Linked DNA regions of Mus musculus. The protein of the gene in region 3 binds, or shares a complex with, the protein of the main gene of each other region. Links are inferred from orthologs where the notes say so. Each region holds a gene or a part of one and is shown on either strand. Other genes may lie near its edges.

Evidence for each region. Proteins that work in one complex are often made in the same cells at the same time.
Region 1: the proteins of Flt1 (region 3) and Vegfa are in contact, whole or in part, in a crystal structure (PDB 5T89), measured with the Homo sapiens proteins. The link is inferred for Mus musculus from reciprocal best matches to the Homo sapiens genes FLT1 and VEGFA. Residues at the interface, in NP_002010.2 of Homo sapiens: Ile142, Pro143, Ile145, His147, Leu221, His223, Gln225, Asn227, Asn259, Thr260, Arg261, Val262, Gln263, Met264, Ser277, Val278, Arg279, Arg280, Phe292, Tyr293, Ser315, Pro317; in NP_003367.4 of Homo sapiens: Phe242, Pro246, Asp247, Ile249, Glu250, Tyr251, Ile252, Lys254, Met287, Ile289, Lys290, Pro291, His292, Gln295, Ile297.
Region 2: the proteins of Flt1 (region 3) and Vegfb are in contact, whole or in part, in a crystal structure (PDB 2XAC), measured with the Homo sapiens proteins. The link is inferred for Mus musculus from reciprocal best matches to the Homo sapiens genes FLT1 and VEGFB. Residues at the interface, in NP_002010.2 of Homo sapiens: Tyr139, Glu141, Pro143, Phe172, Pro173, Tyr199, Ile202, Gly203, Leu204, Asn219, Leu221, Arg224, Thr226; in NP_003368.1 of Homo sapiens: Ser37, Trp38, Ile39, Tyr42, Thr43, Thr46, Cys47, Gln48, Pro83, Asp84, Asp85, Gly86, Leu87, Cys124, Arg125, Pro126.

The regions. Positions count from the first base shown.
Region 1 is NC_000083.6:46,029,578-46,033,639, forward strand, and holds the start of Vegfa (vascular endothelial growth factor A), read right to left. Parts: upstream 2,801-4,062; 5' UTR 2,314-2,800; coding exon 1,714-2,313; intron 1-1,713.
Region 2 is NC_000085.6:6,984,852-6,989,130, reverse strand, and holds the start of Vegfb (vascular endothelial growth factor B isoform Vegf-b167 precursor), read left to right. Parts: upstream 1-1,479; 5' UTR 1,480-1,719; coding exon 1,720-1,779; intron 1,780-2,314; coding exon 2,315-2,357; intron 2,358-2,644; coding exon 2,645-2,841; intron 2,842-3,036; coding exon 3,037-3,110; intron 3,111-3,290; coding exon 3,291-3,326; intron 3,327-3,534; coding exon of another isoform or gene 3,535-3,635; coding exon 3,636-3,770; intron 3,771-4,279. Other genes in the region: Dnajc4 (dnaJ homolog subfamily C member 4 isoform a precursor), read left to right, coding at 856-942, 1,023-1,134. UniProt on the Homo sapiens protein: Growth factor for endothelial cells. VEGF-B167 binds heparin and neuropilin-1 whereas the binding to neuropilin-1 of VEGF-B186 is regulated by proteolysis.
Region 3 is NC_000071.6:147,565,506-147,569,013, reverse strand, and holds part of Flt1 (vascular endothelial growth factor receptor 1 isoform 1 precursor), read left to right. Parts: intron 1-187; coding exon 188-272; intron 273-2,519; coding exon 2,520-2,614; intron 2,615-3,508. UniProt on the Homo sapiens protein: Tyrosine-protein kinase that acts as a cell-surface receptor for VEGFA, VEGFB and PGF, and plays an essential role in the development of embryonic vasculature, the regulation of angiogenesis, cell survival, cell migration, macrophage function, chemotaxis, and cancer cell invasion.

The DNA.
Region 1 (4,062 bases), on a different chromosome or scaffold from region 3:
TCCTTATTCTTCTGTCTAGCCCCCCGTGGAGAAAGGGAACAGAAACTTTGAACCCCTTCCCAGATGGGGAGGTTCTAAGGCAGGGACTGGCCAGGTGTCCTTCTCTGGGGGCCTCTGAAGGTCACACTGTGGCCAAGCACTCCTATCCTCCTCCCCACATGGAGGCCCAGAACCAAGGCCTTTGTGCCAGGGTCTGGGGAACTCTGGATGGTGGCAGGGACACCTGCCCTTCTCCTTCCTTCTGCCTCCTTTCCAAGAAGGCTCTACAACTGAAGCTTCGTGGAAATAAGCATGAAAGGACCCTTTGGTAGGCAAGTTGGGTGGGCAAGTTCGCAGTTAAACCACCTGCTCTCTGGGCATCGGGCTTTGCCAGGACAAAGTGTGTGAGAGATACTGACTGACAAGGGATCCTGCCAAAGGTATGGGAAAGGGCTGGTTCCAGGCTGCCCCTGTCAGAGCAAATATCAAGTCATGTTTCCAAAGGGGGGGTGGGGGTGGGAAATGGGGTGATGTCAGTCCACCCTTCGTTGATCCACCCCCCCCCCCGCAAAAAAAAAAAAAAACCTGAAGCACAGCTGTGAGGGGAGGAGGGAGCACACCTTCACCAACTCAAAACTTAGGTCAGCGTTTCCACAAAGAACCCGAGGGTGGGCCTCAGCACCCCCACGCCTGACAGTCACCGTCCTTTTCCTGGACCCTGGGTCCAGGAAAGGTCCGATGAGTCTTCGCAAAGAAAAGGAAAATATAAAAGGGTGGGAAGGGCTTCTCTTTTTACACCAGGCAGGAAATGGGGAAAAGGGGGAAGGGGCGTCGGGAAATTCTTCCTAGCGCGAGGCACGGGTAGAAGTTGGGAACGGAGGAAAGAGGTATGGGAGTTTCTCCGGGTCCCGGAGCTGGGGATACCTCCAGAGGTCACCTTCCTCGCGGAGGGCCGGTGGGGGGAGGGGCGCCGCTCGTCGCCCGGGTCTCCGGGCTCCGGCAGCCGCGGCTCCGGGAACACGAGGCCGGCCAGGCCCGGGCTGATGTAATCGGCTCTGCGCCGCGCGCGCCCGGCCAGGCGGGGGAGGGCGGGCACCGCGCGGGACGCGAGCGGGGACGGGAGGGGGTGGCGCGGTGCAGGTGGCCCAACAAGCTAGAGCGGTGGGAGAGGGTCCCCGCAGCAATCCATCCTAAAACTTTCCCCAAACTCACTGCAAGGGCCTCAGAGACCCAAACGGCAGTGACAGCAAAGCCCCCTCGGTCGCCCGCGCCCTGCCCCCTCCACGATCTCTGCCCTCCCCGGGTCCAAGGTCCGAGCACCCCCAGGCATGCCCGCTGGGCTCCGGACTCCCGCCCCCTTTGCCCGGACTTCCAGTTCTCCGGGGACCCGCGACCCGGAGCAAACTTCTGCCGCCAGCCTCGGCACAAGCCCAGCCCCCTCAGCCTCCTCCTCTGGCTCCCGCCCTCCGCTGCTCGGCCCAGATCGTACGTGCGGTGACTCTGGTGGGTGGGCAGGGCCCGCGTGGGCGGCGAGACGATCCTGGCGCCCTCCCACCTAGCGCGCACCCCCTCCCCCTCCACGTACGACGACAGAGGGGGACGCCTCGCGCCCGGTGCCCAAGGACCCGCGTGGGGCACGAAGCCCCCCACGCGCGCGCTCGCACGCACGCACGTCCCCAAGCGGGAGAGGCGCTCGCCACGGCCCGGCGACAGCAGACGGGCACGACCGCTTACCTTGGCATGGTGGAGGTACAGCAGTAAAGCCAGGGTCCAGTGCACCCAAGAGAGCAGAAAGTTCATGGTTTCGGAGGCCCGTCCGGGGCCGGCGCGGCTCGCGCTCCCTCTCCGGCTCGGACTGCGAGGCAGCCCGCTCTCTTGCGCGCCTTGGCGGGCTCCTCTCCCTTCTGGAACCGAGGCCCGGGCCGGGGCCTGGGGCGCGCGCGCGGCTGGAGCACTGTCTGCGCACACGGCCGCCTCACCCGTCCATGAGCTCGGCTCCTGAGAGCCGAGCGCCCACTGCGGCCCCCTCTCCTCTTCCTTCTCTTCCTCCCCTCTCTTCTCGGGCCCCGGCTTCTCCAGGCCCGAGCTAGCACTTCTCCCAGCTCCGATCGGTTTGTCTCCTGCGGCGCAGACCACGGCTACTACGGAGCGAGAAGAGCCCAGAAGTTGGACGAAAAGTTTCCGTGCAATCCCGCGAGCCCCGACCCCCTCCACCCCGCCTCCGGGCGCGGGCTTCGGTTCCTCGCGGCTCGCCGCCGCGTCCACCGTCGGCAGCCCGCCGGCGAGGAGGTGGGCGCTGGGGCTGGGGGCGGTGTCTGTCTGTCTGTCCGTCAGCGCGACTGGTCCGATGCAAGATCCCAAGGGGGAGGGCTCACGCCGCGCTCTGGCGGTCACCCCCAAAAGCAGGTCAGTCACTTTGCCCCTGTCCCTCTCTCTGTTCGCTCGCCAGCGCGCTCTCTCTGACCGGTCTCTCTCTCTCTTCCTTGACTTCTCTCTGGAGCTCTTGATACCTCTTTCGTCTGCTGATTTCCACAATCCGAAGTGATTTGAGGGAGTGAAGAACCAACCTCCTCAAACCGTTGGCACGATTTAAGAGGGGAATAGGAAGCAAAAATAAATTAAAGCGTAAAACAATACAGTTTAAGAAAAAAAAATTAAGAGGTTTGAATATCAAATCCCAGAGCACAGACTCCCGGGCTGGTGAGTCCGCTGAATAGTCTGCCTTGTCGCTGCGTCTCGCGACAGAGCTCCGCTGCCGCCGCTCAGCTCGCCCCCAGTGCCGCGGCCTCGCTGCAGCTCGGCTGCCCCAAGCCTCTGCGCTTCTCACCGGTAACAGCGGTGGAAGAAAAAGAGGAAATCTAGCTCCACCCCCAAGCCCCGCCCAGACCCGCCCCGGGGAGCGGTCTGGTGGAGCCAGGCACCGCCTTTCGGGGAGCCCCTAGGCCACTACCGCGAAATGGAAAGCTAAACCCCTTACCAGGGTCCACGGCCTCAAAATTATCTGTGCACCCCTTCAAACTGGGCTCAGGAACACACTGGGAATCCCAGAGTATTGGGAATCAGGGGAGACAGGAGAGTGAGGTTATATGCGGACAGGGTCTAAGAACAATTCCCTTTCCCAGGAATATAGGAGAAAGTAGGGGTTGGAAGGCGGAGAGCTGGCAGGGACGTATGAGGATAGGGACAACTAGAGTGACCCCTGGCTTTCTCCCCCACCTCACAAACACACTACACACACACACACATGCATGCACGCACTCACATTGACACACGCGTCCTCCCTCACGCAGACTCGGCTCGCCCAAGTTCACGATCTCCCCGTGATGGCCGAGCGCCCCCTAGTGACTACATTATGCACACCCCAACTCTTGCTCAAATGGCACGGGTCTTGGAAAGGGGGTGAGAGTTGATTCTTGAGTGCGGCAGACTTTGAGCTCCCAAATAATTGCGTGTTTCTGACATACACACACACCCAAAAAGTTGCGTGTTTGACCTCGGAAGCATAACTCTAGGTTTATATGTGGGGAGGGGGTTACGGGGGGGGGGGAGTATGCTTATCTGAGCCCTTGTCTGATCTGCAGTCATCAGGAGCTAGGGCCCTGGGGTGAATGGGATCCTCTGGGAAGTTTCCAGAGAGGCTTCTCTGGAGAGAATTTGGCACCAAATTTGTGGCACTGAGAACGGGAAGTGGAGTTCTGGAGTTAGTCAGTGGCGGGGAGTGAGACGACCTGTGGAAACCCACGTATGCACTGTGTAGTCTGGCAGAGCCCTGAAGGAGAGACAGCTGGGCAGACAGAGGCCCTTGTTCCTCCTGATCTCTCTCTCTCACACACACACACACACACACACAGAGATGTTGCCAGGGAACTGAAGCCAGGGTGCCAATGGGGGCAGAAGCGGGCCAGGCCGGCATGGTGATTCAAACCTACCCTAGCATTCAGAAAGGTAGGTAGGCCAGCTGCCCAGCGCTGCCGCCAACCCTCGGAAGGGTGGGAGTAGAGGCTCCCTCAGTTCTAGCCTAGGCTTACGGTTCATCTTCTAAACAGAATTCAGGGGTGTACTCTGTCCTCCCATTCTCCCTAA
Region 2 (4,279 bases), on a different chromosome or scaffold from region 3:
CTCCTAGCACTGCGTAAATGAGGGCGGTTTTTCCTTTTTGTTTTGTTTTGATTTGTTTTGTTTTGTTTCTCTGAGACAGGGTTTCTTTGTGTAGAACTGGCTGACCTGGAACTCCCTGTGTAGACCAGGCTGGCCTCGAAGTCAGTGCACCATCACCACCAAGCAATTTTTTTTTTTTTTTTTTTTGCAAATTTTTTAAGTTCAGGGTCATCTTTGGTTACATATGGAGTTTGAGGCTAGCCTAGGCTACATTAAACTGTGTCTCAATATAGAAAGAAAGAGGGCCAGGCAGTGGTGGTGCACGCCTTTAATCCCAGCACTTGGGGGGCAAAGGCAGGTGGATTTCTGAGTTCGAGGCCAGCCTGGTCTACAAAGTGAGTTCCAGGACAGCCAAGGCTATACAGAGAAAACCTGTCTCAAAAAACCATAAAAAAAAATAAAAGAAAAGAAAGAAAGAGCGAGGAAGGACAAGTGCCGTATAACAGTGACAGTCCATGGTAGCTGCCAGGACCTCACCATACACTCGAATGCATGCTGTCATACCAGTTTTCTGTGGCATAGAAACCCAAAGGATGGAGCCCATTGTCCGTAGTATCTAGCAATGGAGATTACCTAAATATGCCCCCTTTCTAGTCTTCTGGGAGAGGCAACCTGATTTCAGAGCTGTTTCACCAACCTTCTTCACAGGACAGCCAGTGACTTAGGGTGCCACCTAGTTCTGGGACTTGGGCCACTTGGTGTCTGTTATAGAGAGAGATGTAAAGTTGTGTGAGAGATGCTAGAACCTGGTCAAGGACCAGGGTTTGAGGGACACCAGAGTTCGGAGACTCGGAGTTAACTGCAATTCCTTCACAGGAAGCTGGAGCAGGTGCATCGCAGCTTCATGGATGAAAAGGACCGGATCATTACAGCCATCTACAATGACACTCGGGCCAGGGCCAGGTCTGTCACTGCTCTGACTTTGCTTCCTGCTTCAGCACCACCCTCCAGGATGTCTGTCCTGATCCTGTTTTTCTTTCCAGGGCCAACAGAGCCAGGATTCAGCAGGAGCGCCAGCAGAGGCAGCAGCCTCGGGCAGAACCCTCCCTGCCTCCAGAAAGCTCCAGGATCATGCCCCAGGACACAAGCCCCTGAGAGGCTTAACTAAATGGGACCTTCATTGGTCCTCTCCCTGCTGCCTGTCCAGAACTACACGTGCAATAAACTCATTTTCAGACGCCTGTCCGATTCGGTCCTTCAGGTCACGCATCTCCTCACCCCTCCCCTCGTGAGGCAGCGACCCCCGGAGCTCGGCCTCCAGGGCGGTGTGTCCCCTTTCCCCTGCAGCGGCGGGAGGGGGCGTTTGGAGGGGACCGGCTCCGCCCCCGCCCCGCCTCCGCCCGCGGCCCGGTGGGGAGCGCGTGTTTAGGTCACATGAGCCTCTTGCCCGCCAGCCCCGGCCAGGCCCCCTGCCACCCCCCGCCGTCCCCGTTGCCCGCCGTCCCGGCCACCACCGCCGCCACTACAGGCCGCCTGCCTGTCTTGTTCCTCAGGCCGTCGCTGCGGCGCTGCGTTGCGCTGCCTGCGCCCAGGGCTCGGGAGGGGGCCGCGGAGGAGCCGCCCCCTGCGCCCCGCCCCGGGTCCCCGGGCCCGCGCCATGGGGCTCTGGCTGCCGCCGCCCCCCACGCCGCCGGGCTAGGGCCATGCGGGCGCTCCCGGCGCTCGCCCCCCGCGGGCACCATGAGCCCCCTGCTCCGTCGCCTGCTGCTTGTTGCACTGCTGCAGCTGGCTCGCACCCAGGTACGTGCGTCCGCGACATCCCGCTCGCTAGCTCGCCCGCCCGCCCGCGGTGCCCTCTCAAGGTTGGCGGAAGTGGGGAGGCGCCTGCTACCTCTGTCGAGGGGATCCTCAGTTCAAACCGGGAATATCCCTTAAGAGGTGCCCCTTGGCGAAGGCCCGCTAGTCCTAGCCCATGCCCCTGGGGCCACTCCCCCACCTCACCCCATCCCCTGGGCGGTTGTAGGGCGGAGCTGCCTCCGTGCCCTCCGAACCTCGTTTGTCTCCCACTATCCTGGCTCCTGACCTAAAACAAGCCCAGCGCTAAGGCTTGGGCTTTAGTACCATTCCCAGAGTATGCCTGGTGGGTCTTGGGCCAGGGAAAGTACCAGATGTCTGAGTATACAAGAAAAATTAGAACCAAGGTCTTGGGAACAGAATAAATCTGGAAAGGTGTCAGAAAGGCGCAGAAGCCTGACTCAAGGACGGAGCCCTTACATAGCCACAGGGCCAGCCCTTTTAGAGTGCATCTTGGGCCCAGGTATCTTCTTTCCCACAGGCCCCTGTGTCCCAGTTTGATGGCCCCAGCCACCAGAAGAAAGGTAATAATAGTTAACAATAACTTGCCACCAGCCAGTACTAAGAGGGGTTAGCACTTGCTCTGATTTCATATCCCTTATCTTGCGTGATCCCAACTCCTTTGGGCGATACCATTCCATAGAGGAAGAAACTGAGGCAGAGGGCTTAATCATTTCTTGAGAAACAAGGCAGAGAAAGACAGGTTTAAAAGATGGTTGGGGTGGTGGTGATAGGGTATCAGAGAGGCTACATGCTCAGAGGAGCTTCAGGAGACCTGATAAGAACTTAATCCATCTGGGTCTGCCCACAGTGGTGCCATGGATAGACGTTTATGCACGTGCCACATGCCAGCCCAGGGAGGTGGTGGTGCCTCTGAGCATGGAACTCATGGGCAATGTGGTCAAACAACTAGTGCCCAGCTGTGTGACTGTGCAGCGCTGTGGTGGCTGCTGCCCTGACGATGGCCTGGAATGTGTGCCCACTGGGCAACACCAAGTCCGAATGCAGGTACCAGGGCCTATGGGTCAGGTGTGTTGATGGGACAGTGATGTCCTATGGGCTGGGCCAACCCAGGGAGGGGCGTGCTGGAGGTGGGAATTTCTGGTCATTCTTTCTCTAGCCTATCTAGTATCCCCTTCCTCTGTCTTTTTCTGGCCCTGCCCCCCACCACTCACTGTCTCTTCCTCGTTCTCCTGAGCACAGATCCTCATGATCCAGTACCCGAGCAGTCAGCTGGGGGAGATGTCCCTGGAAGAACACAGCCAATGTGAATGCAGGTGCCAGCCAGGTCCAGGTCACAAAGTGTAGCATGGGGTGGGGGTACCAGGCATGGGCTTGTACCTTACTTAGTAGGGACCAGGTGACTGAGAGTAGAGCCAGAAGTAGTAGGCATGGATCCTGGGGCAAGAGTGCAGGAGGCTTGGGTTTCTTTAATCTTTCTCTCTCTCTCTTTTCAGACCAAAAAAAAAGGAGAGTGCTGTGAAGCCAGACAGGTGAGTTTTTGGGATTCTTGGTGCTGGTCCAGGAGAGAGAGCTCATGGGTTAGGGGGTGCACAAGTGAGCCAGGAGGCTGCAGCCCCTCTGCCTTCTTCTCTCACCCGACTCTCTTCCCTTTTATACTCCCCAAATCCACACACTCTGCTCTAACCCTAGCTCCTGGGAAGACTCTTCCCACCCCAGACGTGTCGCTTCTCCTCCTAGGGTTGCCATACCCCACCACCGTCCCCAGCCCCGCTCTGTTCCGGGCTGGGACTCTACCCCGGGAGCATCCTCCCCAGCTGACATCATCCATCCCACTCCAGCCCCAGGATCCTCTGCCCGCCTTGCACCCAGCGCCGTCAACGCCCTGACCCCCGGACCTGCCGCTGCCGCTGCAGACGCCGCCGCTTCCTCCATTGCCAAGGGCGGGGCTTAGAGCTCAACCCAGACACCTGTAGGTAAGGAGTCTGTGGGGTGGTGCTTGTGTGAGAAGGCCGCAAGGTTATGTCCTGGAGCAGGTCCAGATGAGCCTGCTAGTGGTGAAAAGACCAGGGATGGAGAAGCCAGCTGAATGTGTTAAGTCATTTACTGTGCATCTGCTGGTAACCAGATCATCAAAACCTCAGCTGAAGACTAGATGTGCAAGTCAGAGGGTGAGAGAGCTGATGCCACTCTTAGGAAAGGATGCTGAACCTGTGATAGGGGCACCAATCTAGCTAAGCAATCAACCATCTCCCGGAGTGGAACTAAAGAAGGCTTTTTCCAATCTGCAGAGCTTTATGTGATTGATATTTCTCCATTCTGCAGGCTCTGAGAGAGCAAAGATAATATGAGAGCCCCCATCTGCCTCTGCCTGGAGTGCTTACTTAAGTAACCCTTCTGTGCTCTATAGTGAGGCCAGGGGATGACTTATGGGCCAGGCCCTGGAGGCTTCTAGAGAGTATCAGAATAAAATGGGGTTCAAATG
Region 3 (3,508 bases):
AGCACTACATAGGGGAAGTGACGTTACCCTGAGGTAACGTCATAGTATAGGAAGGAGCGAGTCTGAGTCAGTTGGTATTTTGGTTGCTAGGTGGATGGGTCCACTCAGGTTCTATAATGTCCTGGTTCATTTCATTGGTGTGAGCCTTTTTCTCCTACCTTGATAATTCTTTCTACGTCTCCATCAGATATGTAAACGCTTTCAAATTCATGAGCCTGGAAAGAATCAAAACCTTTGAGGAGCTTTCACCGAACTCCACCTCCATGTTTGAGGTAAGTCATGATCATAAGGACACAGTGCTCTCTGTCAGAAGTCTCCCCCTGTCGAAGCAGCCACCCCAGGCAGTGCTTGGCCAGGGAGGACCAGCGATCAGTAGAGGCCAAGGTTCCAAGATGGGGAAGAATAGACAGCCAGACTTCATCATGAGGAGCTGATGTGAAAGAGAATGCCACAGTTTGAAGGAGTCCTGTCCCACCAGCTCTCCAGAAGGGGAAGGAGTAGTCCCTGTGTATGTTTCCGGGGCTCTCTTGTAGGCTGGCTATCCAGGACACACCTTTCTTTCTTTAAGAATGTAAGATGTGGGGCTGGTGAGATGGCTCAGTGGGTAAGAGCACCCGACTGCTCTTCCAAAGGTCCAGAGTTCAAATCCCAGCAACCACATGGTGGCTCACAACCATCCGTAACGAGATCTGACTTCCTCTTCTGGAATATCTGAAGACAGCTACAATGTACTTACATATAATAAATAAATAAATCTTTAAAAAAAAAAGAATGTAAGATGTGCAAGCGGCTGGGCCTTGTGATACCACAGAGACCCCGTGCAGAGGTCTGAAAGAAGTCCATGGAGGCCCTAGGCCCCTTTAGCGGAAGGTTCTGCAGCTGAGCAGCCATGTTCCCACCCAGACACACTGGTCAGAGCACACCAGAGTAAACTGGCCAACCAGAAGCTTCTGTCAGCAAGGCTATGGAGAGGCCCTTGGACAGGGTGGAGTGGGCTCCCGAGACAAACACAGTGCCGTAATTCAAGAGGAAAAACCTCAATGCTGGGGCCTGGAGAGACACTGTAGTAGTTAAGAGCACTGGCTGCTCTTTCAGAGGATCCCAGTTCAGGTCCCAGAACCCACATGGGGGCTCACAGCCACCTGTAAGTCTAGTTCCAGGAGACAGGAAGCCCTAGTCTTAAGTGCCAGACATACATGCAAGTGCACACACATAAAAGATAAATATGACCTGAACCTCATAGACACACACGATAAAGGGTCACAGTGACTTCAAAATATAAAGGCATCTCCATTGTAAGTGGTAGGATGCAGTCCATGATAATGTAGTTAGAAATTTTGTGCTGTGGCTCAGTAGGGTGGTTCAAGTTCCAGGAATAACACTGAGTGAACCTCAGAATTTCTCTGGGTTAGGCTACCCCTAAAGTGGGGCAGACGATGACAGCACCTTGGCCGCCCTGGGTCCTCACCGGTGTTCAAATGGCCCAGGAAGAGCCTCAGAGGGAGGGAGGAACCAAGTGTGGAGTCCCCTCCACGTCAGCAGTAACAGTACTGAAGGACAGGTGGAAAATTCCATGATGGGGATGACTGGACCACAGCTCCTAGAAACTATGGCAAATAGGGCATATGCATATGCAAGCATGCATATGCAAACATGCATATGCAAATGTGCATCTAAAATATGTACACATGGCAGATGCCAGAGACTCTCCAAGAGAAAATTATTCAACCACATCTATAATTTCCTTGAAATCTTACGTGCAATAGTATACTCATAGCCAGACACCAAGCTTTGTTTTAACATATATGATAATTTGCATATATGATAATTTAACATATGATAATTTGCATGAAAATTTCACACGGAAAATACCAAGCAGTTACATGCAATTTTCCATTGCATGTATGTGTGTGTATGTCTACGTGCATGCTGTGTGCACCTCTGTGCATATGTGCCTGCCCCCCAATATATGTGTGGAATCCATTGGCCAAGGTTGGGTGTCTTTCTCAATTGTTCATCTTACTGGGGTTGTGGTTGATTAATTGGTTTGTTTTTAAAGACAGGATCTTTCAAGGAACCTGGAGCTCACAGTTGAGCTAGAGTAGCTGGCCAGCAAGCTCCAGGCCGTGCCTGTCTCCATCCCCACCTCCTGCCCCCAGGGCTGGGATGACAGACCTGAGTCACAATGCCTGCCTTTTATGAGAACTCTGAGGTTCTCATGTGTGCCCCGTAAGCACTTAATCCACTGAGCCATCTCCTCAGACCCTGCAATTCCTTCTTATTTTCTTCACCTTCTGGAAGGAGGGTGGTAAAGTTGCCCACGACAGGCACTGTTTTGTCTCTGACGAGCTCACCGATGTCAGTACAAGGAACAGGCACGGTGCTGACAGGCGGGGGGCTGTGTTTGCTGAGGGCAGCACTGGGCCACACCTCAGTGGTGCCTCCCAGTGTCTTCCCAGAGTCACTGTGGAGCCTGCTTGGCCAAGCAAATGAATCATCTTTCTCTCCTCATCCCACAGGACTATCAGCTGGACACTAGCACTCTGCTGGGCTCCCCCTTGCTGAAGCGGTTCACCTGGACTGAGACCAAGCCCAAGGCCTCCATGAAGATAGAGTAAGGAAGCCAGATAGGGGTGGGGGAGGAGGATGCCAGGGACGGTGGGATGCTTGGTGGGTGGGTGTTTAAGGCTACCTGGCCTCCTAGTGTTCAGGCATGGCAGAAAAGCAACCACCCCACACCCAGGGATGAGAAGAGGGGTCACAATATTAGGCATATGAACCCCAGGCTCTGTGACAAGGAAGACTGGGGCTTCGTGTAACAGGCAGGCTGAGCCTGAGAAATATGGGGCCTTGATGGAAAGGAGCCAGGTGTGTCCAGCTGTGAAGGACGATTTGGGACGTGTCCACAGACTCACGAGACAACACGTCCCGTTTCTGGTCCCTGGGCTAGCAAGGGAACACAGTCCTGTCTGTAACCCTGAGAATTCAAACTTCTACAATCAGGATTGTCTGCATCCTGCTGCATCCATTACCCACGTCTCACTTGTAGATGTTTCCACAATCCCCTGCGGCTTGATCCGTCAGGCAGTTCTTCCTTCCGTTCTGCATCATTTCGGAATCGCTGGGCTCCGGCTGTACAGTGGACTGGTAGAGATGACCTCAGTGGTTCTCTAAGCCGAAGGCCACCCAAGCCTGGCCACTTACCTTCCTACCTACCTTTCCTGGCTCAAATGCCTGGCTCTCGGGTCTAGCAATGAAGAGCACTGACTGCTCTTGCAGGGGACGCCTTCTTCTGCTGTCTGGAAGCACTAGGCACACATGGGGGACACACAGATACAGGCTAACAAAACACCCATACACGCAACAACAAACCAGATGGCCAGCCCACGTGCTGCAGTTGATTGAGCTGTGACTGGACTCAAACTTTCCAGCAGGCCACTGGAAAGACGGGCACTCCCGGGCAAACATTTACCTTTTCCCTGTGATGCAGTCTCAGAAGTAGGCCTTG